Alligator mississippiensis: one gene and its partners. The main gene of each other region encodes a partner of the protein of the gene in region 4 in a complex. Links are inferred from orthologs where the notes say so. Each region holds a gene or a part of one and is shown on either strand. Other genes may lie near its edges.

Region 1 (6,960 bases), on a different chromosome or scaffold from region 4:
CCTCAGTGATCAAGAAAGGAACAAGAGAGGAGGACTAGGAGCTCTGTTCTGGCCTTGTGTCATGTCATGATGTGGGTGAACAGATGTGGGATCACTTGCAGATCAAGACACTGACTCGGATTTTCATAGATAAGTAGAATTCAAAGTCTAACCAGGTCAGGAAGCCAATCCAGGAGCAAAGTCCGGGGACACACCGAGTCAAGAAGCTAAGAGATCAGACAGAGAACTAAATCCAGGAATGGACTGAGTCAAGAAGCTGGAAGATCAGACAGAGAACGAAGATAAGCAGAAAGCCAGGGGACATACACAAGCAGTCCTGAGCCAGGTTGCCCTACTGCCCAGACACTTCCTGCTCTGTGTCAGGGGGTTTATATGTGGGAAATAGAGTGTCAGCTCACCCTAGCCAACCACTCCAACAACAGGGAGCAGTCTGCGGGTTAGGTCCTACTAGAGGCTTCACACTGGCTTTGACCAGCCTGGGTGGGCTATTCATGGGGTGACAAGCCAAGTTCCCATGTTCAAGACTGCAGCCTGATGCTTGGATGTTCAAGAGGGGATATCAAAGAGAAACTAAGATTTAAGTTTGGAGAGGAGTTCAGAATAGAAGTAGATCTGTGAGTCACTAACAGACGTGATAAATGGCTGTGCTTGCCAACAGGCTATAATTTTTGGTGCCACTGGAAATGGAAGCAAAAACATTGAAGTGTGTTGTGATGAAGTGATGAGAATCATCATGAAATGCAGGAGACTTCTCAAACCCATGATTTCCTTGCTGTTAAGGTTTGAATAAGGTGCATCTCGAAGCACCATATCAGCCACTAAGTTTCTGCTTGTGTCTAATATTTAGTTACTAAGCTGCTTCCATATAATGTGTCCAGAAGGTTTTAAGAATCACCAGGAATTCTTTTAAAGATAGCAGTTAGCTGGGATTGTTTTAACTGTTACTTGAGCAGTTTAACCTGGAGAGTATAAAGGCTCATTCAGCAGGGTTTTCAATGCCACAGGTTTAATATGTTCTTTGCAAGTTATTAAAAGTTTTGAAATTGACATTGATCTGTTTAATTATTAATCTCAAAGGCGCATCAATAAACAAGGAACCACTGACAAGTTTCATGAGTGCCAGACTGCACAGTGTAGAACTGAAGCACTTTGCAACAAACAAAATAGTGAGAATTGAATTGTAACTTTGAGATATTCATTATTTTTAAATCATCATCTTGCTCTCTAAAATTTAGAATTTCATTATTGCACAGGAAAAGGATATTTCTGTTACTGAGTCTGCAGGCTCATGTAACAGATGAATTTAACATATTTAAGTCATATTCCATTTGATGGCAATGTGATTTCTGTAGCCCTAGCTGCATTTTAAATCAGGTATTTAAAAAACAAACAAACAAACAAAAAACACCAAACAAAAAAAAACAGGGTAATAATTCTGGGTCATACCAACACTGAATAACAGGGAAGTCAGTTAGAACTGGAAGGCATACGGAATGAACATGTATACTGTATTCATGTATGTATGTTAGAAAGGGACACAAACTGTTTTGCCAATACTATTTAAATAGTGTCCATCCTTCTCACATTGGCAAATGAGATTATTCTCATCTCTCAGGTTAGACAGTTTAAAGTAACTGATCACTGTCATGCAAGATTAGTTCAGAACTTGAGATAAAGCCCAGCAAGGCTTGTTATCATAGAAGTAAGGCTGGAAGGGACCTCAAGAACTCATCTAGTTCAACCCAGGATCAAACTTCTTATTAGCACACACCCATGATATTTAGATTTAAAACGCAGAAGAATATTCCCACCTGGAACTCTGTTTTGGGCCCATTTGCAGAAGTTAGGTCAAAATTTTGGGCTCCTACAGCTAGAATTTTTAGACACACAAAGAAATAGGAACCAAAATCCCACTGAAAGTCACTGGGAACTTTGTGCCCAGCTCCTACATTTGAAAACTGCAGTCTCAATTCATGGTCAGGCACCTAGAAAAAACTGACCAGATTTCCACATTTATTTGTTTATTGGAGACAAACTGATTCACCATTTATTTATCATGTTAATGAGGTTTTGAATTGGGGACAAACTGAAGCTGAACGGAAAACATCTCTAGCACATCAGGCTGAAATCCAATATTGCCATTTTGTGCTGCTCATTCTGAAATCTGTGCTGGCAATAATAAAGCCCTTTGCAGCATGAGAACTGCAGTCTCAGTGTTAAATTAGATGAGACAGAGTGAGCTTGCATTCCTTTCTTAGGCTTTAAATTTTAAATTTGAGAAAATATTAAGTAGGATGATGTTACAGACAGTCTATTATTCATATACCCAAAATTATGCTACCAAAGCAATATAAGCAGTACAAAAAAAAAAAAAATTTAAAAAAAATCAACATATCTATACTGTATAAGCTATAAATCACCAAAATGTGAGAAAAACAGTCTTGTTTGCTTTTGTACAAATAGAAACTTATTCATTTGCTGCTCATAAAACAAAAAATGCATGATCCAAAGTGACTGCTTACCTAAAGAGAAAGACTGAAATCACCCTTAGCCTAAAGCAGAGGGTGATAAGAGAGACTCTGAGTCCTTCCAAGCAGCAAGATGCTGTACTTTGCAGGCATTTGCATTGTATTCCAGGGCAGTATTTAGAAAAGACCAGAAACGAGCTGGTAAGTGTGTAATGCAGCTCATCCTAGGTTTGCAGCAGGGAGTACAGCCAGTTTTCTTGGGCTGCACGCAGTATTGATAAAGTAGCTCAGAAAAGCAGCAAGACAAGAATTTCCCCCATTCCTCCCCCGCCCGTTTCCCTTGAGTTACCCATGCTGCTGCTGCAGCCCTTACCTTTATAGACGCTCTTGATTATTGAAGAACTTCATGCACATTTCTAAAGACTTCGCTGCGTAAGTCCCTGAGGGTGACAGAAGGCCTTTTGGCTGTGATGTCAGAGTTAAGAATGCCATTGAATGTCTCTTAACTGCTTCAGTGCTGTCACATACTTGTTTGCCATGTGCAACGTCCTTTTCTGCGAATGAGTTGCTTTATTGCATTTTTTATTACTGAGAAGTACTAGAGAGATGCAGGGAGTGTGAAATCATTCATGCAAAATGAAAGGGGTGCTATGGGAATGGAATTTCATTTATATCTGAGCTGCAGTGGTCTACAGTGCAAGATAGACAATTCACATGGGGTACAAGCATAGAGAGGGCACAGTGCACCATTCATGTGGGGTGCTGTACATTCATTTAGATATGGGGCTGCAATAGGTCTGCTTACCATTTATGGCTTTCATAGGTACTGTTGGTATGGGATACTATTTGTGTGGGCTATTGGGAGGGAGTGTGGCATACCATTCATACAGGATCCAAGACAGTGCAGTGATACGGTGTTTCACTCACTAGGAGCAGAAAGAATCATATGCAATTCATATAGAGTAGAGTAATGCGACACTGGTCAGGCTGCAGTTGGAGTACTGCATCCAGTTCTGGGCGCCACACTTCAGGAGGGATGTGGCCAGCATTGAGAGGGTCCAGAGGAGGGCCACTCGCATGGTCAGGGGGCAGCAGGGCAGGCCCTACGAGGAGAGGCTATGGGACCTGAACCTGTTCAGCCTCCACAAGACAAGGCTGAGAGGAGATCTGGTGGCCATCTATAAACTTACTGGGGGGAAACCAGCGGGGAATGGGAGAGGCCCTGTTCCCCCCAAGCACTACCTGGAGTAATTAGGAATAATGGCCACAAGTTAATTGAGAGTAGGTTCAGGCTAGACATCAGGAGGCACTACTTCAGTCAGGGCGGCTAGGATCTGGAACCAACTTCCAAGGGAAGTGGTGCTCGCTTCTGCCCGGGGGGGGGGTCTTCAAAAGGAGGCTAGATAATCACATAGCTGGGGTCATTTGATCCCAGTACTCTTTCCTGCCCATGGCAGGGGGTCGGACTTGATGATCTGCTCAGGTCCCTTCCAACCCTACCAACTATGAAACTATGAAATGTGGTATACCATTTTTTCAGGGTTGCAGGGCAGCAGGCGATATGATATACCATTCATGTGGGGTCCAAGAGTGTGCACTGGCTTTCTATACCATTCATTTGGAATGTAGGGGAGCCCAAGGGATACCATATAGACCATGTATACAATTCACGTGGAGTGCAATCCCTTATATTTTTATTTCCCCCTGTTTATAGGATTGTTGGAAAGTATGGCTGAAAAGGGCCTCACAAGGTGATTTAGTCCAGCCCTCTGCTCAAAGGCAGGACTAAGCCATCCCAGCCGAGTGCTGTCCAACTTGCTCTTGAAAATTTCCAAGGATGGAGATGCCACAATTTCTCTAGGTAGCATGCTCCAATGCTTGACCACCTTCATAATCATAACATTCTTCCTAATCTTCAACCTAAATTTCTTCTGCTATAGCTTGAGGCCACTGGACATTTTTATGTGTGTTCAGGGAATGGGGTGGGGGCCTTCTTTATTTAGAGCGGCTCCAAGAGTTGCTCTAATTAAAGCACCTGGAGCATCTCATGTGTCAGCATCTCTGCCCTTCAAAATGGCGGCGGGGTGCTTTATCGAACGAGTTTTAGCTAAATCGCCCCCGCCGCCAGTTTGAAATGCAGGGACACTGATGCCTGAGATGTGGTGGCTAGCTAGAATGCGCTAATTAGAACGCTCCAGTAGACTTGATTAACCTAGTCTGCTTTGACATGTTGTAATTATAGTGCATCAGAGCAGCCTCCCAGAACATGTACAGGTACCCATTGTTCCTAGTCCTGTCCTCTACAGCCACAAAGAAAAACCCATTTCCATCCTCTCTATAATCACCTTTCAGGTATTTAAAGACTATTATCAAACCCCGCCTTGGCCTTTTCTCCAGACTAAAGGCTCTTTCAGCCTTTCCTCCCAAGTCCTGCTTCCAAGGCCTCTAATCATTTTTTGTTGTTCTGAGCTGAACTCTTTTCAATCAGTCTACATTTCTCTTGAAACATGGGACCCAAAACTTGACACAGGACTCTGAAGCCTCAACAGCACTGAACAGAACAAAAGAATTGCTTCCCTCAACTTGCAAGTGACATTCCTGTTAATAAACTCCAGTACAATGTTGGCCTTTTTTGCAACAAAAGCACTGTTGGCTCATATTCTCTTACTGTAACCCCCAGGTCCTTTTCTGCAGTACTGCAACCTAGCCAGTTTATAGATGTGCATGCAATTTTTCTGTCCCAAGTGCAGGACTTTGCACTTTTCATGGCTGAAATTCATCTGACTGATTGCAGACCATTTTTCCCATCTATTCAGGTAATTCTGGCTCCTAGTCCTGCCCTCCAGAGTGTCTGCAACTCTACCTAGCCTGATGTCATTCACAGATTTCCTAAACTGCAAATTTGCTAAGCATGCACTTAATCCCATCATCCAAATCATTAATGAAGATGTTGAACAATACTAGATTTAGGGTAGATCCCTGGGGCCTCGCCTGATACATCCCCCCAACGACTTTGAGCCATTGAGTGCTCGTTGATCAAAAAGATCCAACTAATTACAGCAGGGGTTGTAAACCAGGGGTACGCATACCCCTGGGAGTACTTGGGAAGGTCCCAGGGAGTACACAGTGGTGGCGCAGAGAAGCAGGGGTATGTGGGAAATGCGCCATTGTGCACCTGATGCCATGCACCACTGCTGCCTGCCACATGGCAGCACCAGGCAGTGGCACACAGCAGCAACACCTGCTGCAAGGGTGGCGGTGCAGAGCCAGAACCCTCCTCCTCAAACGGCTGCTGGAGGACCCCCACCTCACCCTCACTCCTCAACTGGCCACTGGGGGACCCCCCCCCCCCCATCAACTTGCCAGTGGGGGACTCCCTCGCCCCTCCCCCTGCTTGTCCAGGAGGGGTACCTACCAGAAGGGGCACACTCCTTAAAAAAAAAAGGTTGAAAACCCCAGAGTTACAGGTTTCCCTCGCTTTATGCTGTACACGCATTCCTTGAAAACAGTGCATAACTCAAATTTGCATAAAGGGAACCCACTTTACAATGTAACAAATAGGGCTATGTTCCAAGACCTCAACTGTACTGACCGCCAGACCCATTTCTGCCACTTTTACAAGACAATGTTGGTACTCACCAACAGTATGATAGTGCCCTGTGTTTGTATGCACTTTCTAATGCGGATGGCAACTATAGAAACACGTGTCCCAGACAACAAGCGAGGAGCACAGATCCACACAGGAGAGTATATTTTGGTGCAGATCACTCCCACAATGCACTGCACAAAGCTGCTGACTGCAGGCTTCCACCACACCAATCGCATAAGAGCGAATTTACCTCGCATATAATGAATCTTTGGTATAAAAAGGGTCATCACATAAAAGCAAATTCGCACATACAGAACCCACAAAAAGCAAGGAAAACCTTATAGTACTTACCACCCTTATAGTGCTTGAGTCTAATCTCTATTTTCTTAACTTATTAATGAGAATGTCATGGGACAGTGTTAAGAACCTTGCAAAAAAGAAAGCCTTACGAGTTGTCTTTGAACCCTCTAAATAAAACCCATTTTCATAGTCTTTTCTATATATTTCCCCTCTTTCAATTCTGTCTTGCATGCATTTTATCACTCCTCCGTGATATACAGGACTTCTTTCCCCCTCATATAGGGATTTATTCTCTGCCCCCCTCCTTTCCCAAATCCTTGTAGTTTAATGAAAAATTTATAGAAATACTAAAATATATTTTTCACTATGTCTGCAAGAGACTACCTATGAGTTGGACTTCTTACCATCTGACCACAAACCAGGAAACTTCACCCTGAACCACCCTGGTCAATGTTTAGTCTGCCTGCATTGGCATGTGAGAAGAACTATAAATCCTGATGTGAAGGTAAAAGAATTTTTACTATTTCTGTAAGAGATTAGATAGGAATTGAACCCATTGCTACTGCAAGCAAAGCAAATGCATTCCTATGTCTCCATATATTT
Region 2 (6,938 bases), on a different chromosome or scaffold from region 4:
GCATTTGCTGGAACATAGTGGTATTTCCAAGCCCCCTGGAAAGGTCTCTGGGGCAGGCTGGTGTGAAATGGTAAAAGGGCGGGGAGGCGCAAAGCCGTTCCATCTAGCTAAATGTGAGCACTAACAAATGATCTGTGCACAAACGAAGCATCCAAATAATGTGCCTGAAGGGGAAATTCAGCACTGGGCCAGCCTTTGAATGCAGCCTCGCTCCTAAACCCGCTACGTTTCTCTCCTGGGGTATACGTCCATGTCCCAGGCAGCTCTCCGTTAACCAGGCAGCGAGCGACTGCAGTACAATATTGCAGTGTAATCACTAACTATCTTGGGTACTCTTACAACACGGCAACAGCAATAGACACACAATGCCACAAAGGATATTAAGTCCCGGGTTTTCAGAACTAGCTTTTTCAGTCTGTGCTCAGAGTTTATACACCTTCTGTTCACCATATTGCAAGCCGCTGCCATGGAAATGATTATTCATTCAACGATATTCATTATTCTACTGCCTCTGTGATCAAAGAGGGTGAGAGCGGGAGGGTGGGAGGAAGTTCACACTTAAATAAAAGCCAGCGTCTTTTCAAATCCAGCAGCGCCAAAGCCTGGAGCATGCTCTGCGTTATTTATTACTGGAAGAACTCAGAAGCGTGTGGGCTTGGAGTACAGTAAGATCGGTTGTGCACCAGGCATTTGTTTCCTTGGGTATTTATTTGAGAGAGTTAAACAGAATGACTTCTCCCTAACTGGTCACAGCAAGTCTATTAGCTACAGAAATACGCTCTGTTACAGGTGGGATAGCCACCTTGCAGTCCAACATAATTGAATAAGCATCTCCAGTGGTTTCTGCTTTAAACTCAGGACATTGTTGGGAGGGGGAGTTTATTATTATTGTTATATAACTGATAAATCATTCTGGCAAAACATTGCTGGACCAAAACATTGCAGTGGCAAACATCGACATCTTCGTTTGCCTGCCTTTGGGTCTGCGTAAACCAGTGGTTCTCAACCTTTTCAGATTCAAGGCGCCCCTCCTTAGATGCGAGGCCCACTTTGCAAAATGCCAGCTCTTACTTTTCACTCCTTTTTTTGACTACGGAAAAATAAAAGCAGTTTTTTCTTTCGGTTGCCAAGACCCGAGAAAGGCCCCAAGAGCTCAGAACGGTTTGGCAACATGGGGTCCTCTTGGAAATCTCTGGGTTTATCATGGGAACCATGTTTGCCCGCCTAACGGTGCAAACACTTTGAAGACTCTCAAGGCACTGCTGGCTGCTGCATCCTCCTGGTTGAGAATCACTGGTAGAAACAAGCACAACACCCAAAAGCTCACAAAGAACAATTTTTCCAGCTATGTAGTTGGTCTAATAAAAGATATCACAATTATTCAAAGAAACCTTGTCACAGCACCCCAAGGAGCTTGAGTACAGAGGCCCAGAGCTGTTACAAGAGCTGTGTGACAGCAGTGTTACACCAAAGGGACCGTGTGCACCTATTTGATGCCTCCCAAATTGCTCCTAGTTCATTGCTTGGAACATCACAGGAGTCCTGAACCCCCTGACCCCGCATTCAAGCCTGGGTGTGCCAGACACTGCACGTGCACGCATGCGTGCACACACACGGCCAAACATGTGTGCACACACGCATGCACACACACATTTGCATACATACAAATACATGTACACGCATGCACAGCTACATGCACGAAAACATGCAGTCACACTACATGCACATACACGCATGCAGATACACCCACACATAAGCAGACATGCACACAAATACGTGTACATACATGCGCACACACGCAAGTACACACACACAGATGGACACAATACATGCACATGAATACAAGCACATCCATGCACATAAATACATGTACACACATGCAAATATATGTGTGCACACAAATATGTGCACACACATGCACGTCCAGAAATACGTGTGCACACGAATACATGCATGCACATAGAGACCCACAGGTAAATACAAGCACACTCACGAATACACACAACTGCACAACTACACGCACACACACAGAAATACATGTGCACACATGAATACACACATGCACATAGAGACCCATGGGCAAATATATACATGGACACACATACATGTGTGTATTCAAACACACTACACGCGTGCACACACAAATACACACATGCACATAGAGACCCGTGGGTAAATACATGCATGCACCCACAAATACAGGCACACACACACATGTGCACACACAAACGCACAACTACATGTGCACGCACAAATACACACACATACACAGAGACCCATGGGTAAATACATGCATGCACCCACAAATACAGGCATACACACATATGTGCACACACAAACGCACAACTACATGTGCACACACGAATACACACACATACACAGAGACCCGTGGGTAAATACATACATGCAGACACACAAGCACACAACTACACGCGTGCACACACAAATACACGCATGCACATAGAGACCCACATGTCAATACATGCACACGCACACACACAAATAGACGTGCACACACCTATGCGTGCAAACGCACAACACGCGTGCACCTAGAGACCCACGGGTCAATTCGTGCACGCACACACGAATACACGCGCACACGCGCTTGCACATTCGCGCGCGCGCACCGAGATCCATGTGCACGCAGGGATACGCGGGTGCACGCACAGGCGCACACGCGGACACCCATGTGCACACGCGAAGACACGTACATCCACGTGCGCACCCCCGCCCCGCCCAGCCGCGCCCCGCTCGGGTCGGGTGGGGTCGGTGCCGCGCAGGCCGGGCGGCGGGACGCGGGCAGGGTCGGGCCGGGCCGGGCCGGGGCCGGGCGGTGCCCGCGGGGAGGCTCCTCCGCAGCCGCCCGGGCCGCGCCGCCCTCTGCCCCGCGCCCGCCGGGGATGCCGCCGCCGCCGCCGCCGCCCCGCACTCACCGCGCTCCACCGCGGCTCCAGCCCGGGCCCCAGCTCCGCCTCCGCCGCCCCGGGCCGCGCCGGGCGGGGCGGGTCCACGCGGGCTCTCCCCACCGCCTTAAAAGCCTCCGGCGCTGTCGTGGCCTTTCTGGGGTCTTGGCAACACACAAAACCCACCTCCGGCTCCCCCCAGAGCCGGCGTGGGGGAGACGCGGGGCCGGGAGCACCTCCAGAGGCCAAGCCATCCCGGACCATCACCCCCAGCTCAGCCCGCCACGGGTAAAGCAGGGGAGCCCGCTATAAAACCTTGTCAACACTCGCTCAGGAGAGCCCTGCTATGGAGGAAGGCACCCCCCCCACCCCTCTGCCTGGGGGGGCAATTCCTTCCTGACCCCAAATAAAACGAGTGAGGAGCTGGTATTTTCCAAGAGTGGCCTCGCGCCTAATGCAGGGGCCTCGAGTCCAACAAATCGAGCAAGGCTGAGCGCCGCTGCGGTCTGCCCCACCTCGTTCCCCAGCCCTGCACGCGGTGAGGATGAGGAGGAGGAGCAGGGTTTGGAGGAGGAGGAGGGTTTGTGTGGATGGAGGACCTTCTGGCTTGGACCTGCCCCCTGCTTATTGCTGGCCTGGTGTTGATAGCCTACCTGTGCACTGTGTGTGCACGTCTATTTGTGTGTGTGCATGTATTGACCTGTGGGTCTCTGTGCACGTGTGTTGATAACTTACCTGCAATGCAGGGCACCTCCAGCCTGAGACCGGTGCTTTTTAAATATGATTCTGCAGACAATTAAACTCATAAATCAGCTATGCAGATGGCTAAGGGAAATGTATTACTGCTGCCTTCCCCTCTCACATGGAGCCATCATGGGCACCTTGCTGTGTTTTTAACTACCCTCCCCACACCCGTCTGGGGTAGGGAAGTCACAAAGGGCACCAACACCAGGCCAGGGGACCTCTCCAAATCCTACCGAACCTGTTCTGAGCATGGGACCGTCTTTGCTCAGTGCGCCAGGACGTGCGTAGCTTGAGGCCTGTTGGGCGCTGGACTTGGTAGATCACACTCCACACAGGTACGGCCGCTGCTGCGTCCTCACTCATCTGCCCCGGTTCCAGCGCCATTGAGACCATCCTGCTCTGTTTGGTGAAGTGCTGAGCAGGTGTGAGAAATCCCTTTGCCCTCCATCGTCTAGGCTGAACAGTTTCCCAGGCAAACGGGAGCAGAGGCGCCTGCGGGGCCAAGCGTGCTGATGTGGTTCCACGAACAATCAATGTAGACTCATACTTAGAGCGCCGCTCGTCAGCAGAGAGCTCGCAGAGGCTCTCCTGCATCAGTCCTGGTGCCAGCAGGCTGGGATCACGGGGGAAGAGGCATGTTGCCAGTGTTGTGTGCTTATTGTCTCAGTATCATTATCCCAAATGATCATTGTATTTCCACCATCTCCTGTAGCAGACTAGGGAACTAGCAATTAGTTCCTTCCAACGGCAGAGATGATTCTCATACCGCTGCATGCCAAGGGTGGGGGGCGCTTGCTGTTTGGATAGCTTGTTCTGGTCTGGAGGTTGCCAACTCAATTCAAATTGTGCCTTGGTAATACCGGACTTCCCAGGTGGCCCCATGAAGAAGGGCGTCTACACCTGACGTAAAGGTGTCACACAATGTGAATAAAAGCATGGAAATCCAGCCCTGCTGTAAAAGTGAACAGCCCCTCTCGTGCACTTAGCCCGCCCGGCAGGGTTCATAGAAAGCCAGACTTGGTGGGGGGAAACATGGCAAGGACTCGTCTCAGGGAGGGAAAGGAATTTACACGTGAGGCTGATTAACTACAGAGGCAGCAAAAAAACAGCTATTTTAGGATAATATTAATGATCTGACTCAAGCTGACAAAAGCCAAAGAAATTCTTGGCACCTCTGTTGGCTGCCCCCAGCTAGGAGCTGAGAACGGGACTGGCAGAGAGCGCAGGCACTTATGCCATCCTTGGAAGCAGGCCTGCCAGGTCAGGGGCGAGGTGTGCTAGCAGGATGTGGCAAGACAGACCTCAGATGCACTATCCCAGAGGCACCCGCTCAGGGATGAAGCAAGGTCTTCGGTCCGTGGGGCTGAGGCTCTGGCAGCCTCCCAACACGTGCTTGATGGAGCATTGGACTGGACTGTGCTTTGTATGCACATCCTTGCAGGTTCCAGTTGGACGCATTGCACAGAAATGGTAATTTTATTGAGGGCAGAAAAAGGTTGAGGCTGAGCCAAATTCATCCCTGAGGCAGCAGCCATCAGCAGTTACACAGAGATGAATCTGGCCCATTTCCTTCATATACCCTCCTGTCCTCTGCCCTGGCATTTCAGGGACCTCAGACCCAGGCACCAACTCCAGAGCAGAACAGGGTAAGTTAAGGGTGCTGTGAGCCGCCTTACCTACGACCCCATTGCTTCTTGTCTACCAAACACCACATATTTGAAGCATTCCTCGCCTTGACAAGACACGACTGGACCAGCTGTTGTTTTGGCCCTGAACCCACAACAGGTCACACTTTCAAAATGTAAAATCCTAGCAGAGGATTGACATGGTAATTGCTTTGATGACTGAGCTATAAGCAGCCAAATCACAGAGCCTTGGAAATTAAGGTTTATAACCTCAAATGCTGAGGGACCTGAGCTCCAGCAGCCCTGCTGGGCACCACTATAATAAATCAGTTCTACATACTATGAAGTGTTAGTACCGAAATCCAACAGGACTTCAAGTGAGAGTAATGGAAAATGTATTGATGTACCAACTCGGTGCCAGCTGGGAGAGGGGTCCTGCAGGCTTTTCTCCTCCAGATGGTGGGTCTTTAAACATGAAACCATGGACCAGCATCAGAGAAGGGGTAGTGGCAGGCATGCCTACATATGGCTCAGCGCAGTTGCTTTCTAAAGGCTGACATGCAGATGGTGCGCTGGGCACGACTACCCACTACACTATTAATCTCTCGTTAAATTCCAGTATATTTTTTGAAGACTGCATTCTCTCCACAGCCTCTAGGGCATAATTATTATGTTAATACAGCAACCTTGAGAGGGCGGGATGTTGTGAACTAATTGGTTCCTCTCTTTTTTTTTGCCTGCCTTATGTATTAAATCCTAGGGCTAAGACACAAGAAGGCAAAAGGTAATGACTTCTGCAGGTCCTTAAGCCTGCTAGGATTGCGTAGCGAACAACAGGGAAAAACACTCTTCTCTCCGCCCTTTGCAGATTCAGCTTGCGGCAGAGCGACCCCAGTTCTGTTCAGCTCCTCTGAGCCTCCAAGATGCATTTCCAGCTGGACAGCTTGCTTGTTAAGAGGCTGAATCCCAGAAAAGTTTTCTGAGAGATCAAAAAAAAAAAAAATGGGAATGTGGCAGAGTATTGTCTTCACTAAATACGCTAGCACTGTTAGCTGTGCGATTTGCAGCAGTTGCATACAGCAGAGCCACTTGGCTCCATTCACTGGGCTGCTCAGGACACATGGCTCATGTGGAAAGGCTTTTTTCTCCTTTCTCTTTAAAACATTTCCAGGCAGGGGTGGGTTGGCATGAGGGAGGTACCCCTGTGAGGACTGCTCCAAAGGGACAGAGAAACACTGTGGGAAGTGTAAAGAAAATCTTTTGGCAAAAGATTCCTTGAGCAGGCCTACATCCCTTGGGGTGTAGCAGAGGTGGCAGGGTGCAGTCTGGATTTCCAGTGTGACACACAGATATTGGGGATGGCCAGAGGGCCCTGGACAGACACATTTTTGCACCCATGCACCATATAAGCTTTTGCACTCGAAGTTCTCCACTCTGAAAAGACCTGAGAAGGGGAGTTCAATCTTCATGTCCATTACAATCCAGTCCAAGTACACACATAACGCACAAGGCGCACAATTGTGATGGCCACAGTTGTGCTGGGCGCTAGGTGGAACCCCACTGATTTCTGAGGTCACTCATGAGTCACATTATATTTTCAGCTCCTCCGATTCACATGCAGCAGAAACACCGGACACATTGTCAGTGCTACAATCAAAGAAATGAA
Region 3 (7,895 bases), on a different chromosome or scaffold from region 4:
CAGCCAGAGCCCCTGAGCGGGGACCAGGCTGCCTGTGTGACAGGTGTCAGCTTCAGGGCCACATGGTCCTGGCACCTGTGCCCCTGCCAGCTGTGTAATCCAGAGGGCCTCTAGGCTCACGGACATTAGGAAAGCTTGCAGGCTGGTGTCACAGGCAAACAGGGCAGGGATCTGGTCTCCTTCTGTCCTTCCCTGGTGCTTGCTTTGCTCCAAGCCTTCCTGGGGCCTGGCTCCTGGCTGCCCTTCGTGAGCAGTGAAGTGGTTGTTTGCTGTGACTGCGTTTTCCCTCTGGACCCCTGCACCGTGCCCTCCGCACGCCTCCACTGCCCTTCCTCTCCATAGCAGAGCTGTGGGGTTTTGTGGCCTGCCCTCCCTCAAGCAGCCACTGACCCACGCCCCCCCCTCCCCAGCCCTGGCCCTGGCGGGTGTTGTTGGGACACCAGGATGATTGCTGTCAAGAGCCAGTTAAATATTAATGGAGAGTAGGCAGGCGAAGGCGTTGGCTCCGCCAGGCGCTACCGTCCCGGCCTACGCGGCTCCGGCGCGCAGAGCTGAAAATAAACCTCTCAAAAGGCAGCTGACCCAGTTCTGAAGCTTTTGCCGCCAGTACTTGCTTTCCAGGCAGGGCTCAGGCTAGGCCTCTGCAGACAGATGGGCCGTTAATGCCCATCCACCCCGACTCTGGCCTAAGTCAGCCAGTGGTTCTCTGAGGCCAGGAGGTGGGGGCTGTGTGCAGGGAACTTCCTCCAGCAGTGCCAGGCAGGGTTGCAGCAATGTGAACGAGGCACATGTCACCACTGTAGGTGTCGAGGGAGCCACCCGGGCAGGGCATTTCTGTGGCAGGGGAGTGGGGATGCAGTGGGGATGCTTTTGTTCTGCACTGAGAAATCAGGCATTTGCAGTAGCTCCAGCACTCAAAGGCTGAGCAAATGTTAGGGAGAAACTGCCTCCCCCGATCCTATAAACAAGTAGAGTGGAGGGCAGCTCGTCTCACTGCTGACATCGCGACGTGCGAGCATGCCGTGATCCTGCCGGAGAATGGGACCTTGAGAAGTCGGCAATGTCATCTACAGGCACCATCGGGGAGATGGGATTAATGGTTGGCAAACGCACTTCAGAAAGAACGTGAGCTGACATCGCACCTTGCTGCGTTCTCAGTGAACCAGGCCATGGGGCAGGGGAGCAGGCGTGGTGTCGCTGCGGATGGCGTAGTGAGAGCCTCTGGCTACGTGCGGAGCCAGCTGGAAAGACAAACCCAATCAGGACGTTGCAAAGCAGGCTGGAAAAGGACACTGGAGGAATCGCTCCCAATTACATGGGACAAATCCTTACACTTCTTGGCACCATCAGCGTGCTACTCACTGGCAGCTGGTCAGGAGTAGTGGGGCCATCAACTAACCGCATGTCTCCAGCATGGACATCTGAGCAACGGCCCCATTGGAGCCCATGCTGAGCTCAGGGGTTGGCTTGCCCACTACAGCATTGGGGCACAAGGCTGAGAACCCAGGCCTCCGGGGCAGCTCCTGGCGCTGGTGTTTGGATCTTCCAGCAAGTGACAAGTGGGCTGAGAGAAACTCCAGGGTGAAATCTTGAGCACGGGGGACCCAGGGATGGGGCTGGGAGCCTGGCTCTGTCCCCGCCTCTGCCGTAGACGGGCTTTGTCACCTTGAGGAGGTCACTTAACCTCTCGGCATCCTAGCCCCAAGCAGAAGGCTAATTAGCACATGTTGCTCCTTGGGAGCAGGGGCTTGTGCGTGTGAGCATGTTGGGCTGCTTTCACCAGGCAGGTCACGGGGGGATATAGCAAGCTGGTGCACTGAGGACCAAAGCCCATCCTTGCTGGTCCCCCACGAACTGGAAGGTTGTGGTTGAACCTGGCTGCCCTAGGGATTGTGGCCTGTCTGTGTGCATCGCTCAGAGCCCACCAGGCTCAGGGCTCTCCACTTCTGCATCCCTACATCAGATGCTGTTCCTGGCACTCCTCTCTCCCCAGCACACTTGGGTCAAGTGTGCCTTTCTAGCCTGACGTGCCCGCTGGCTAGTGCTGCTCTCCAAGGAACAGGCAGCCACCACCTGCTTAAAACCTGTCGTACTTAGCTGTTGGGAAGCTGTGGCTGGGGAGGGCTGCGATGGGTCATGCCTACAGTCTCACCTGCTCAGGGGATGAATAGGGAAGTTGCTGTGCATTAAAAATGGGGTGTTCTCTCCCACGGACCTTGCCGTTCCCTGTCCTCCACTCCTCGCAGCTCGTTCCAACGGAGGATGTGTTTCCAAGGCTTCTGTTTTATTTCTGGTACAAAGTCTGTGCTGAGATAGCTGTGAAACGGCCTATTGAGCCACTGCTCCAGTCCCTGCCCAGGCCGCAAGCCAGCACTGGGCACATCTGGAAACTGCCTTTGAAATTCTCTTTCTCCCTGCGTGTTCCTGGCTACAGATCTGCCACCTCCTGAATGTCCCGGGGGCACTTCCCTCTCAGACAAGCGGCCAAGAGCATCCCACACTGGCTCCCGCGAGTGTGAGGACTGGTCCTGTCTGCCTCATGCTCTAGGATGATGCATCTCTGCAGTTACTGGTGGTGTGCAGTGACGTGAAATTGTCCTTCGCTGATGGGAGGGAGGGGGTGGGGAGGCAATCGGGAGAGGGCAGAAACATGGGGCTGCTGTGATAACACGGTGTGCAGATGAGCAGCAGTGCTGGTTTCTCTTAGGTGGCCCCGATACAGCTTCTGAGTGAGGTGTATCCACGCTCCAGCTCTGAGCTCCTGCTGCAGTGAGCTCCCCCCTCCTCGGTGGCTGGACCCAGTCTCTCCTTGAGGCTTGCTTCGGGGTCATTCCACAGTTCTTTTGCTTTGCAAAGGCTTGAACCCAAGGAGCACGTGGCGAGAGACCCATGTCTGAGGCCTGAGCTGCAGATTTTGGTCCTGCTCCCTCCTACAACCCTCCTGGACAGGATCACACGCCTCTTCTCTGCTGCTGCATCCCAGCTCAGGCTCCCTGGCAAATCAGTTACCTCTTGTAGGTGCATCTCAGGGCTCTCCAGTAGGCTGAACACATGGAGATTCAAGTCTCCTGCTGCGGTGCCTAAGTAGCAAATGGCTCCAGCCTCTGCTTTCATTACATCCTAATTGAACTAACCCAGCTGGAGGTACCTGGCATCTTAGAGAGCCTGAATGGGTCCCCTGGAGTAGTGCCATGGGGCTGGGGGGAGCTAGGCAGTGCAGAGCTGACCCTGCTGGCATGCAGGTCCTGTGGAGGGGCCTGTCTCGCTCCTGCAGCCAGACATAGCACCCAAGAGTGTCAAGTGCAATGGAAAAAAGTGAGGGGAGGGGAAAGAAACTCCCTAGTTCTAGGATGCATCTTGCCCAGCCACCTTCCTCCTCCTCCTCCTCTCACAGGTTCTGCCTGTTTGTGGTGCTCGCTCCGGTGAACAGAGCTGCCCATACACTTGCAAGGCTCAGAGAAGCACACTCCATGCCAGGACTGCTGCATTTTATGACCCTGTCTGCAGCCCAGCCCAGCCCGGCCGGCCCCTGCACGTACAGTTGCCAGTCAGAGCAGCGTCTGACTGGTGCCACATCAGACCCTGTGGTGACTGCAAGCTGTAGTGGCACGGCACTGGGAAGAAAACTTCCCCTGGGAGACCAGCCTGGCTGTCTGTGGGGGGATAAGCCTGCAGCCAGGGGACGTGCCCCTGGCATAGCCGTGCGTGTGGGGTGCTGGGTGCCCATTGCTGCTGGGAGCACGCTGAAGGGGGGCAGCGGATGTGTATGGAAAAGCTGCTGCTTCCCTGAAAGCAAAGGATCTCTGCCTTGCTGCTGGATCCTAAAAGCTACCTTCCTCCCAGCTGATTCGTGCCGCTCTGCGGTGGTTCCTGCTCGAGTCTCCCTCCTGGTTTTGCAGCCTGTTTCCTACCAGCCACCTGAAGCCCCCCCCCCCCCCCAGTCATCCTGCCAGGCTGTACTGCTCCATGTCCCCCAAAGTCGCAGCGCCACCAGGGGCTGGTGCTGGGACTTGTGCTAGGGCCTGGGCAGCTCAGGATGGCTTCTCCCTGCACCTCGAAGGCAGGGAGCTGAGTGCAAGGGTAACAAGATGCCATGGACCCAGATGCATTTCAGTCTCACCAGCCTGGGCATCATTCACCAGACAACAAGCAGCACCTGCGCCCTGCATGGCCCTGGCCAGCCCTGCCAGTGCCATTAGCCCAGCCCTGGGTGGGCTGTAATGACATGGCTCCTCTCTTCTGGGCTGTGCCTGGTAGCTGCTGTCTACAGGGCAGGGCTCTGCTATTAGATGAACCAGGGACAGGGAGAATGGGAGCTGGGGAGCACAAAGGAGCTGAGTAATAGAGGGGTGGGGGGAGATTTACAGGGGGGCCAGTGACAGGACAGAGGGAGTGATGGGGGAGCAGGTGGGGCTGGGCACAGGCTGTAATAGGGAGTAGGGGGGAGATGTATAGGCTCAATGTTGGGGTGAACAAGGGGAAGAGCTTTCATGGGCCCCCTCCTCCGGGAGGTCTCGGGCCCAGCTGGCCCCTGCTCTGGGGCTGGCAGGCATCCCCTAGTACGGCATCTCTGCCCTGAGCAGGGCCAGTCTATCCCAGGGCTTTGGGGCATCCTAGTGCACTGGAGCAATGACTCGGGAATCCCTGTAGACGGGCTGCCTACCTGCTCCCCGCCTGCTGCAGCCCCCACAGCTCTCTACACCTGATGCCCCTCTTCCTCATTAGGCATGGATGCAGCTCTGTGCCTAATGAGCTGGCAATTACTTATGCAAATGAGGAGCAGAGCTGCCCAGGGATTGCTGCAGGGAAGCTCTCCAGCTGCTGGCCCATTAGTGGGCTGTAAATGGCAGCCACCCCAGCAGGCCTCCCTTTGGCTGCCCAAGGAATGGTGCATACGTGTGCGCGTGGCTGGAGAAGGGTGCTCGGGAGCTGTGCCCGGGGCAGGGATCATCAAGGCCTTAGGCAGATGAGCCATAGAAGGGACACGGGGTGGTTGCCTGTCTGTGTGCTGGTGACGGCTCAGGAACTGGCTTCACGGTGTCAGCTGGAAGTGTAACTGCGCTGACTCATCTGTGTGCACGGGTCTCTAGCGTGGGCTCAGTGGGGCTCTAACGTCCAGCTGGCTTGGAGCAGCTCCCTGCCACGTGCTGTGGTCAGCACTGGCATGGGGTCCCGAGCCAGACATGCTATTCCCATCTGCCTGGCCTGGCCTGGAGCAGGAGGGGTTGAGCTTGCTGCTTTGGAGCACAGGGAGCCAGTGGCCACAGCCAAGCCAGGCTGTCTGTGGTGTGTCTGCAGCTCTGTTGGAGAAACCAGGGCTTGGGCAGCCCCTGATTGCCTGCCCCGCAACCTGTTCTGTGCTTCTGGGGCCTTGGCAGGACCTTCACTAGGGAAGGCAGCCCCTGCCCTGTTAGCACGGCCCCAGGTGAGCCCACAACAAAGGAGGTGGCTTGGGGGAGCTCTCAGGGGAGCTGTGAGAGTGAGTACTGGGTAGTGAGGGGGGGATTGGGGTGCAGTGATGCCAGCCTGCCCGCAGCCCCAGAACCAGGCCCAGCAAGAGCAGTGCCCTCAGTGGGGTGAGCTGCGAATAGGCAGGGAAAGACCCCCCCGCCCTGCTGCCCCCCATTTCATACCTGCACCCTGCCCTCCTTAGGCTCAGTCCCTGTGCAAGGGTGCCTGGCTGAGTGGACCAGGCCTGCTGTGTGAGGGGTCAGCATGCCATGGGCAGACTGGCAGCCTGACCACGTGGGAAGGCAATGAGCTGCATCCCTGGGATGGTGTAGTTGGACATGGCCTCCATTCTTCCTGCTAGCCTGAGGTGGCTGTGAGGGTGGTGGGGAGGTGGGAGGAAGAGTCCTGCCTCAGGCTGGCTCAGGTGCCTTGAGGTGTGCAAGCTTGGCCTGCTTATTGGTGCACAACCAGAGCACCTGGGAACCCTGGTTGTGTATTAGCACCCCAGGGTGTCAGGTGCAGCACACCCACAGAGATGCCGGTCAGCTCTAATGGGGGCAGCATTTCCTAGGTGATGGGGCCAACCTAGGAAAGTCTGTGATACTTTCCATGAAGTCACAAAGGGCAATTCGTAGGCTTTATGGCAGGCAGGGACCATTAGACCAGCTGATGGCCACCTGCGTAACCCAGTCCCTGAGAGATGCTTGCACCTGGTGGGCAGAAGGGGTGACCCGGCGCATGCCTTTCTCACCTCTTTTCGCTCCTAGGCCCCAGACCCAGGCTCGGGCGTGACCATGGGGAAGCAGAACAGCAAGCTGCGCCCGGAGATGCTGCAGGACCTGCGGGAGAACACGGAGTTCTCGGACCTGGAGCTGCAGGAGTGGTACAAGGGCTTCCTCAAGGACTGTCCCACCGGGATCCTCAATGTGGAGGAGTTCAAGAAGATCTACGCTAACTTCTTCCCCTACGGCGACGCCTCCAAATTCGCCGAGCACGTCTTCCGCACCTTCGACACCAATGGGGATGGCACCATCGACTTCCGAGAGTTCATAATCGCCCTGAGTGTCACCTCGCGGGGCAAGCTGGAGCAGAAGCTCATGTGGGCCTTCAGCATGTATGACCTGGACGGCAATGGCTACATCAGCCGGGAGGAGATGCTGGAGATCGTGCAGGTACCACGGGGGTTCCTCGGTGTCAGGTGTCTGTGGAGTTCCCTGCACTGGGTGAGGCGGTATTGCCCTCTGTAAGGGCCCAGTCCAGATGTGGGATGCCTTCCCTTCGTGGCTGCAGTGGGGTGAGGCTGGGGGATCCCACCAGCCAGGTCCCTGCTGTATGCTGCTCTGCGGGCCATCAATAGAGGTCCTCCAGCAGCTCCCCACCTCTCAGGGCCCCAGCCAGCATGCACCCAACCATCACCCTTTCATCATGAAAGGCTGGGGAGATGGTGCACTCTGTGGCCCCCCAACCTTGGCATCACAGACAACCTGTGGCCTGGGAGCCCCTGCAGTAGCACAGGCCCTTGCTCCCCCACATCGAAGGTCCTGCTTTTCTCCTGCTTTGCCTCCTGCTCAGTGCCTTGCCCCTGTGCAGAGTAAATGTGAAACACCCTCTGGGGATGGAGCCCCATCCCCACACCCCATCCTGCAGTGACGGGGCTAGGGACAGGGCAGCCAGGGAGGGTCTGTGGGTTGGCCTCTTGCCTGAGCCGTGTTTCTCTTGTCCCGGGTGGAGGCAGGCTGCCTGCGTGTGCCCCTCTTGGCAGGAGAGGCTGCTCTGGGCTGAGAGAGTACCAAGAGCTGCTTGCCTTGCTGAGGGAGGGGGCTGCAGGCTAGAAGCAGGAGCAGATTCCCTCCCCCCAGCACTGCGGCAGGAGAGGTTTGCAGGCAGCTTTTGAATAAGGGCAGGCACATAATAGAGAGGCTCCCTGGTTCCCTGCAGGCAGTTCTCTGTTCCCCCCTCCTTCCCTCCTCTGGGTACAGCTCATTGCTCCCTGCCTGGTGGGGCTGCAGAGAGCAGATTGTGGATCTGAATTTAATGGAGATTAGCCGGCTGGATGGCGAGCTGACCAGATTACCGGAGGGCAAGGGTGAGGGCATTGTCCCTCCCAGCCCCTTCTGCCTGGCTCTGGTGCAGACAGGAGATGTGCGGACACCCACCCTGCTGCTGTTGGCATATGGGCGGTGTGCCTGGCAGGCTCCGGTTCCCACGATGGCAGGGTGACACCTGTTTACAGCAAATGTAGCTGTGCCTGGGGGAGCCATGGGTGCGGATCCTGGAGCCAGCTCCTGGGAAGTAAAGCGCCAACGCCGTGTCCCATGGGGAGACCGTTGGGCTTGCGGCGGCCCAGCAGGGCTGGTATCGTCACTGCTGGGAGCTCGGGGATGCCAGAGGGATCACGGCCGAGGCTGCTAGACCAGGGGGGGATTTGCAGAGGAAGGACCCAG
Region 4 (6,997 bases):
CAAAAATCAGTCTCTGCTTGGTTAAGCCTGAGTAAGAAACTAAGGGGTTTTTTGGTTACCACGAGTCCATGGCAGTGGTGCTCAACCTTCCAGCCCCACAGGCTGGATAAGTATATTGAGCCAGTCCATGGACCAGATCCCATGAGCAGTTGGCATGCAGGCGTGATACTGCACCAGCACCAACCCCAAACACCAGATCAGCCACATGCTTGCCCAACCCTGACTGCTGAATCTAGCTGCAGAATGACTCCATGTGTAAGCCCCACTGCCAACTGGAGTGATCCAATGCAGAGGCATTCAATAAATCCGGCCCCCCTGCATCCTGTCATCTGGCCGGTGGGGCTCCCCGAGGGTCCCAGTCTCCACATGGGGAAGTGACGCCAGGACTGTGGCCTGATCCTGGCGTGCAGGGTGGATCTGGGCAGAGGCAGTGGGGCCCCCCCGAGCCCAACCTAGACAGAGGGAACCAAGGCGGGGCCCCAGGGCCCAATCCTGGCACAAGGGCCGGATCCTGGTGTGCAGAATAGAACTGGACAGAGGCTGTGCAGGCTCCCTGGAGCCCAATCTTCACATGAGGAAGCAATGTGGGGCCCTGAGCCTGGCACATGGGGTGGGGCGGAACAGCACCAGGGCCCTCACAGCCCAAGCTCCACTCAGGGAAGTGACAGGGGGCAACAGGGCCTGATCCTGGCTCCCCAGGTCTGCACCTCTGGCAGCAAGGGGCTGTCAGTTTACACTACTGCCACTCCCCTGCCCTGCCGCCAAGCATCCCAACCTGAACCTGGCCTGGAGCCTGCAGCATGCGACCCCAGTCTGCCTGCCCGCTCTCATCCCCCAACTACCGGGGCTTTGCCTTTGCTTCCCCAAGCCTGCGGGGATGCCTGCAATGCAGCAGCTCCGACCCCTTTTTCTTTGGGACAAGGCCAGCGCTTGGCTCTCTGCGCTTTTGGCGCCGGAAGAATACTAGGGGCGCTGCTGTGGGGCGCAGCGAGACGCACGGGACCGAGGGTCCCTATGGGGGCGCTAGGGGCGCAGCGACCGCACCGCGGGCAGGCGCCTACGCAGGGAGTCTCGGGTCGCCACAGCTCGCCCTAGCTTTTCACCCATCCACCCCCACCCACCGCCGCCACCGAGTTAGTGAGGCGGCCACAGGGCGCAGACACCCCCTGCTGGGGGCGGGCGTTCCACCCGCTAGCTCGCTCCCATTGGACGTGGGGCCGCACGCTGGGGCCCAGCCACGCCCCCACCCTGTCCATCATCGCGGAAGCCCCGCCCCTAGCCCCGTGTGCCCTTGGAGGGAACCTGAAGCCTCCTAGTCCCGCCCCCCTTTGCCTCTAGTTCCACCCGCGAGACCCCCTTCGCGCGCTCCCCTTCCCTCTCTCTCTGCTTCTCCTTCTCTTCAGCCTCCGGCCCCCTCACCTCTCCAGCTGCCGGGCACGGATTCACCCACCCCGCACTATCATGCTCTGCCATTGGTGGAACGCAAAGTAGCTCCACTCGCTCGACCAATCGCGACTATTCTGATTCGTCTAGCTCCTCCCCCGCCCCTCTCGGGCAGAATGTTAAGTCACTGCAGGGGAACGACTGGGAGGTCGCTTGATTTGGATGTGGAAGGAGAGGGGGATCAGAGGGAGCCCAGGCAGTACTTACCCCAGTGATTCTCAGCCCCGCATCTATGAGAGCCACTTGAGAGTCCCCCAGTCAAGAAACGTGAAACAGTTGGCATTTTCCGAAGGGTGCCTCATGGCTACCGAGGGGCACCTTGTGCCTGTGAAAGCTGAGACCCATTCCTAGAGTGTTTAGTGGCTTGAGAATAAGCACAGCTAGCTCGGGCCTTCCTGCACTGGAGTCTACGTGAGCAGACCCCGTGCACCTTGTGGACCATCTTGGGGCTCCAGAGAAATCAAGAATCAACCTAGGTGGAGTCAGCTGCGGGATAAGGGTCTTGCAAATTAACCTGTTACTTGAAATCCAGCCAACCTAAAGGAACAGTGAAATATGCTGACTGCTTTTGTTCAACTCTCATTTGATACAAGGTATTTGGTGGTAAGAGCAGAGTCAGCACCATGCCAAGACTCCTCATGAATGGTGACCTGATGAAGAATGTCTTGCATTCAAATGCTTGTGTACCTGTCCCAACTATCTAGTTGGTCCAATAAAAGATATCGCCCTAAGAAATCCTTGTCTCTTGCATAGTTTCTGGACCATCACAGCTACAAGGTCACTCTTGCACTACTGAAATTCCTACTCCGATACCTTTCTCTGCTTGATTAAATTACCTCAGCAGATGGATATGTGAAAATAAACCACATAATCACAGCAAAAAATACTTTCTTGCGTAAGGATATGATAGTGAGAACTGGGATCTAGATGGGAACTGTGTGCCAGATCAAGAGCTCTATCTAGTCTAGTGTCCAGTGGCCTATTGCTGACGTCTTTTCAATGTAAATCTTATCCCCTCCTACCTCTTAATGTAGCTGCCTGATCTTTGGGGTCTATGTCCAGTACCCAATTGCTGATGTTTTTAAAATACAAAACCTGTCCCCTCCCACTATTTAATGTAACTGCCTGTTTGTAGCACAGAACCCCAAAATAATTGGAGGCTTTACAGAACATGTGAAAGACACACCTACCTGGAAAGTTTACAATCTACGTGAATGATTCTCCACCAGGGTGCCATGGCACCCCGGGGCACCTGGAGAACTTTTCAGGGGTGCCACAGCATGCCACACAATGTTAGGTATGCAAACACAATTTACAAAATACAACTGGAGTTTTCAAATGGGAATTGATAGCGTTAAGGCCACCCTGCTCTGCTGCGGGCTTTCCAAGTTCTTTACCACAGAAGACTTGCTCTATTATTTTTCTCTAGTCAAAACACAAGTGTGTAATGTGAATGTAAGGCGTGTAGTAGCAAAAGGAACCTGGGGGTGGTCTGCAAAGCAGTGCTGACTGCTAAATTTGGACTACAACTCCCAGAAACCCCTAGGGGCTGAAGGAAAAAAAGGAAGAGGAAGCTTGAGGCTGGAAAGACGCGGGAGTGCATGTGGAGCCTGGTCAGCCCTGCACAGAAGAGTTCATTGGGAGAAGAGTGGATTGGGAGGCCTCACAGGCTTGGTCAGCCAGGAGTGTGGCCTAAAGAGCTGGACTCGGACTGGGGGGCAGCAGCAGGCTGCTGCTTGTGGTCTGCCAGAGAAATTATGGTGCCGAGTGTATGTTATCACAGTGTTGATGTTTCTTCATTTTTGACCTGTTCCCTCCCTTTGGCTTGTAACCCCAACCCCTCCAATTTTCTGTATTAAAAATGGCAGCTCCCCTTAGCTACTTGTGCCAGTTTCTGGGGCTGCAGGTAGTGTGGCCATCATAGAGGACAGTCTGGTTGTCCTCTGTCCTCTTGATATGAAACTGGATGCGTTTATGTCCTGTTTCTCTGGAAGAGAAACATAGAGGACATAAAGGTATTGGGTTTTGTATCAATAGAGGACAGAGTAGGGGAATGTCCTCTACGATGGCCACCCTAGCTGCAGAGTTGGCACAAGTAAAAGCTAAGAGCTGGCCTTTCCAGGGGGAAGTATCAGTCTGACATGGGGCACCTCAAGCCTAGCACGGTTGAGAACCACTGAGCTAGTTAAGCTGCAGTATGAAGTGCTGGAATTACTGAACCCTTTGAAGCTTCCCACTCCTGCTTCCTTCCGAGGCCCAGTTCCCTGCGCCTAAGCATGGGTGGCTGTAAGCATCCTTGACCCAGGACAATATTTAAGTCCCTCTTTGGACTCACGCCTGTGGTCGCCAAACACAAATAACTACAAGTCCCAGCACGCGCCGGCGGGCCCGGGACCGGCTAGGTTAGGCTGCCTTGACGCAGAGCCTGCTGGGAATTGTAGTCCCTTGCTCATCAACGGCTCCCTTCCCTTCCTCCGCGAAGACTGCACGTCCCAGCATGCCCGGCGCGGTGGCGTCCAATCGCTGCGCACTTTGTTGTGGGGGTGCGGCACCCACTAAGGCCCCGTTTCAAGATGGCGGACGACAGTGAGACAGCAGGGAAGCAGCCGCCGTCGCGGCCCCAGCGATCGTCCGGAGAGGAGAATGACCACGAGCACTGCAGCGATTGCGAGAACGAGGAGGATGACTACGGCCGCGGGTAAGCGGGAATCCGGGTCCATCGGGCCCCCGCGCAAAGAACCTCCCGAGCGCCCGGAGGCGGGCAGTGGCAGGGAAGTGAGTCTAGCTCCGCCTCGCGCGCGCCCTGATTGGCCGGGGAGTGGAATTTTACCCTTTGACAGGCTAAGCGCTGTGTCAGTCACGAGGGGGGGTGGCCTGTGGGCTCCCATTCACTCGGCTGCCTGCAGTAGCGTGTCCTGTGAGCTAAGCAGGGTCGGGCCGATGGGAAGGGAGACTTCCACGGGGCAGCTCTAGAAGCGACTACTTAGGGGTGCTGATAGGAGCTCTTCCTTCCTGCTTAGTCCTAAACCCACTGTCCCTGTTGAGATTAGGGACCAGGGTGGTGCCACTGCCCTGGTATTAAGGGTTGCTGGTATTGCTACAGTCCTGATGGTTGCTTGGATGTTGCCCCCCCCTTCCCCTGCCCCCTTAGCTGTGGTGTTTGGGGGTTCAGGGAGGGAGACCCCCCCCCCTTGTCCCTGGGCTGCTGTGCTGGGTTTGGTTGTCATCTGAAGCATAACCTGGGGTCCCCAATGCCCATAATCTTTGGCAATCCCATGAGATCTGTCACAGGAGTTAGTCAAGGTGTCCTGCCTAAATCCCAGCTGGGGCAAATCCATTCAGCTGCCTTAAAACCACCTACAGATTTGTTTGGAAGCTGTTCTTTGCTTGTGATCTGCTGCCATGTTTGCTGCCTCTGAGCAGCTGCAGTACCTTACAGTGGGGGCTGTATTTTGCAAGGGGGTTAGTGACTCTTGCCTGCGTGTCTCTATGTGGTTGGAAAGCACTCTGCCTGATCCTGGTGTGGCTCCTTCTGGCAGGCAGAAAGAGCCATGCAGAGACATATTTTGCCTGCCACTCTGCTCCTTGCATGCTGAAAGGTAGAGAAGAACAAAACCAAATGACAGATGCAACAAAACTGAAAACTCCTAAGCAATGAGGCGGCCAAAGGACTGGTTATGTAGCTTTATGTAGAATTGTGTTTGTCCACACCCAGGTCTAGAAACAAAGGAGGTGGTGGCCCCATATTCCCAAAAGGACTCCATTAGTAAGAGAATCCTCCTTGCTTGCATCAAAATTATTCCGAGGGGCTTTTCTTTTTACTGCAGAAAACTGAGAGGAGACTATGCAGCCCCATCATGGAGACTGTGACTCCTCATTGTCCTTTACTTGACAATACCGGCTTCTTCCTCTTCCTGCATTGCCCAATGTCCCTGTCAGGGGTCTGCATACTTAATAGTAATACTTCATCAAACTTTCCTGCCAGGGTTTGTTCTATTTTTCCCTCTGATCTTTGGGTCTTCCAGTGAGCCCCCATGTAAAAAAGACAAGTCTTGGAATCTTAATTCCTTAGAGTCTATTCAGACTGTAATAGGAGCAGTGGATAAGCACTGTGGCTATTAGCAGACTTTTAATATGGTTTCCCTGGTCAGGGTCATTAGAGATTTCTTTCTTGAGAAATGTGATGCTGAGCATTCCCTTGGGTCTAGTCCATGCATATAGGTCAGGGAAGCAATGCCTATTAACTACGTGTATAGTTGCCCATAACAGTTGTAGCTAGTGCGCTTCTAATTCTGTAGAAGGCAAGACCTCCTTTTACTGTTTCTGTTGAATCCATTTTATTCAATGAACTGTTTTCTCAGACATATTTGTTCTGCAGTACTCATCCTACCCAACCTTCCTTGGTTTTGGTATTTAAATAATTCAGCATGCAGGGAAGGCTGACCTAAGATACCATTGTTCTTATTTGCTGTTTTTTATTATGGGTTGATATGTGTAGTAGGGCAGATTTATTTTTCAACAGCTTTGCGGTGAAATGCAGTTTTAGTGTTACAGAAGTAAGAGGATCATGGCACCCCAGAAAAGGGCATCTCTTTTCTCCCATCCCCTTGTCACCCACACTAGAATACAGAGGACTTCAGTAGTGCAGATGGTATAAAGGGGAGGATTTTTGTCCCATTTAAGCCTGCTTTGCAGGCATTCTATTTTGCATTCTGGGGTGACAATCACATGTGCCACCACCTTTTTTCCCAGAAATTTGGGCAATGCAGGAAGAGGAAATTGCTAGTGCTATGCAATTTTTAGCTTCAGTTGGAAGTCTCTTCTCATTTTTTTTCTTTTTGTCCATGTCATTGGCCCCATTAGGTGGTTGGCCTCCTGTGAGATTTAGACTATAGCTAAAGAGCAGTCTCTGTCAGCAGCATTTATTAGGCAATATTTCTCCTCAGAAAATCCAAGCTTAATAACAGGCCACTTAAAAATATTACAGAAGCTTTCTTACACAAATACAGACACACTTTTAAATTTCAGTTGCCTCCTGGGTGCGGCATTGCATCTCAAATTAATAGGGGTAATGCTGTTATAGGCTTGAGAAGCTTTTCTTTGCTTTTCCTTTCTGTTCTTCTCAAGTGATATGGTATGTGAAACAAGTGATAAGCAGTGTGTAAATCACCACAGTTGGCTGTGTTTTTCAGTTATACTTCTAAGTCCAACTGGATTTTAAACTCCTTCACTAGGGCTGGCGGGGGGTGGGGAGTGTGCCTTTAATCACTGTTGGTGTCCTAGCAGGGGCAAGGCAAGTTTGGGTTCTAATACCTGCCTGAACCTTAGCACATGGTGACTGTATCTTTTTAATAGTTTACACTGAGGTTAGGACACACATTGTATCAAACCAACAGGTGTTCAACATTTGTATCTTGACAAGAATATTGGGAGTGCCCAGCCCAGCCCAGCCCAGCCTAGGTTTTAAAAGAGTTCTAAGCTCAGTTTGTGTGGGAACCAGAGTTAGAAATCAAGGCCAGTGGATCTAGTCATAGTGAATACAAGCCTTAAAGGC

What was found.
Region 1: the proteins of NMT1 (region 4) and AIFM3 are in contact, whole or in part, in a crystal structure (PDB 6SJZ), measured with the Homo sapiens proteins. The link is inferred for Alligator mississippiensis from reciprocal best matches to the Homo sapiens genes NMT1 and AIFM3. Residues at the interface, in NP_066565.1 of Homo sapiens: Tyr180, Val181, Glu182, Asp183, Asp184, Asp185, Phe188, Arg189, Phe190, Asn246, Thr282, Ala283, Gly284, Tyr296, His298, Phe311, Tyr401, Ser405, Ile469, Gly470, Asp471, Asn473, Leu474, Leu495, Gln496; in NP_001373743.1 of Homo sapiens: Gly2, Cys4, Phe5, Ser6, Lys7, Pro8.
Region 2: the proteins of NMT1 (region 4) and NCS1 are in contact, whole or in part, in a crystal structure (PDB 5O9S), measured with the Homo sapiens proteins. The link is inferred for Alligator mississippiensis from reciprocal best matches to the Homo sapiens genes NMT1 and NCS1. Residues at the interface, in NP_066565.1 of Homo sapiens: Tyr180, Val181, Glu182, Asp183, Asp184, Asp185, Met187, Phe188, Arg189, Phe190, Tyr192, Asn246, Thr282, Ala283, Gly284, Arg295, Tyr296, His298, Ser300, Lys310, Phe311, Ser312, Tyr401, Leu403, Ser405, Tyr420, Gly468, Ile469, Gly470, Asp471; in NP_055101.2 of Homo sapiens: Gly2, Lys3, Ser4, Asn5, Ser6, Lys7, Leu8, Lys9.
Region 3: the proteins of NMT1 (region 4) and HPCA are in contact, whole or in part, in a crystal structure (PDB 7OWM), measured with the Homo sapiens proteins. The link is inferred for Alligator mississippiensis from reciprocal best matches to the Homo sapiens genes NMT1 and HPCA. Residues at the interface, in NP_066565.1 of Homo sapiens: Tyr180, Val181, Glu182, Asp183, Asp184, Asp185, Met187, Phe188, Arg189, Phe190, Tyr192, Ile245, Asn246, Phe247, Thr282, Ala283, Gly284, Tyr296, His298, Ser300, Lys310, Phe311, Ser312, His313, Tyr401, Leu403, Ser405, Tyr420, Gly468, Ile469; in NP_002134.2 of Homo sapiens: Gly2, Lys3, Gln4, Asn5, Ser6, Lys7, Leu8, Arg9.

The regions. Positions count from the first base shown.
Region 1 is NC_081833.1:33,547,823-33,554,782, reverse strand, and holds the start of AIFM3 (apoptosis-inducing factor 3), read right to left. Parts: upstream 3,015-6,960; 5' UTR 2,842-3,014; intron 1-2,841. UniProt on the Homo sapiens protein: Induces apoptosis through a caspase dependent pathway. Reduces mitochondrial membrane potential.
Region 2 is NC_081835.1:58,961,478-58,968,415, reverse strand, and holds the start of NCS1 (neuronal calcium sensor 1), read right to left. Parts: upstream 3,005-6,938; 5' UTR 2,934-3,004; intron 1-2,933. UniProt on the Homo sapiens protein: Neuronal calcium sensor, regulator of G protein-coupled receptor phosphorylation in a calcium dependent manner. Directly regulates GRK1 (RHOK), but not GRK2 to GRK5. Can substitute for calmodulin. Stimulates PI4KB kinase activity.
Region 3 is NC_081829.1:5,211,154-5,219,048, reverse strand, and holds the start of HPCA (neuron-specific calcium-binding protein hippocalcin), read left to right. Parts: upstream 1-4,880; 5' UTR 4,881-5,164; coding exon 5,165-5,425; intron 5,426-6,218; coding exon 6,219-6,623; intron 6,624-7,895. UniProt on the Homo sapiens protein: Calcium-binding protein that may play a role in the regulation of voltage-dependent calcium channels. May also play a role in cyclic-nucleotide-mediated signaling through the regulation of adenylate and guanylate cyclases.
Region 4 is NC_081827.1:161,560,235-161,567,231, reverse strand, and holds the start of NMT1 (glycylpeptide N-tetradecanoyltransferase 1), read left to right. Parts: upstream 1-3,989; 5' UTR 3,990-4,016; coding exon 4,017-4,141; intron 4,142-6,997.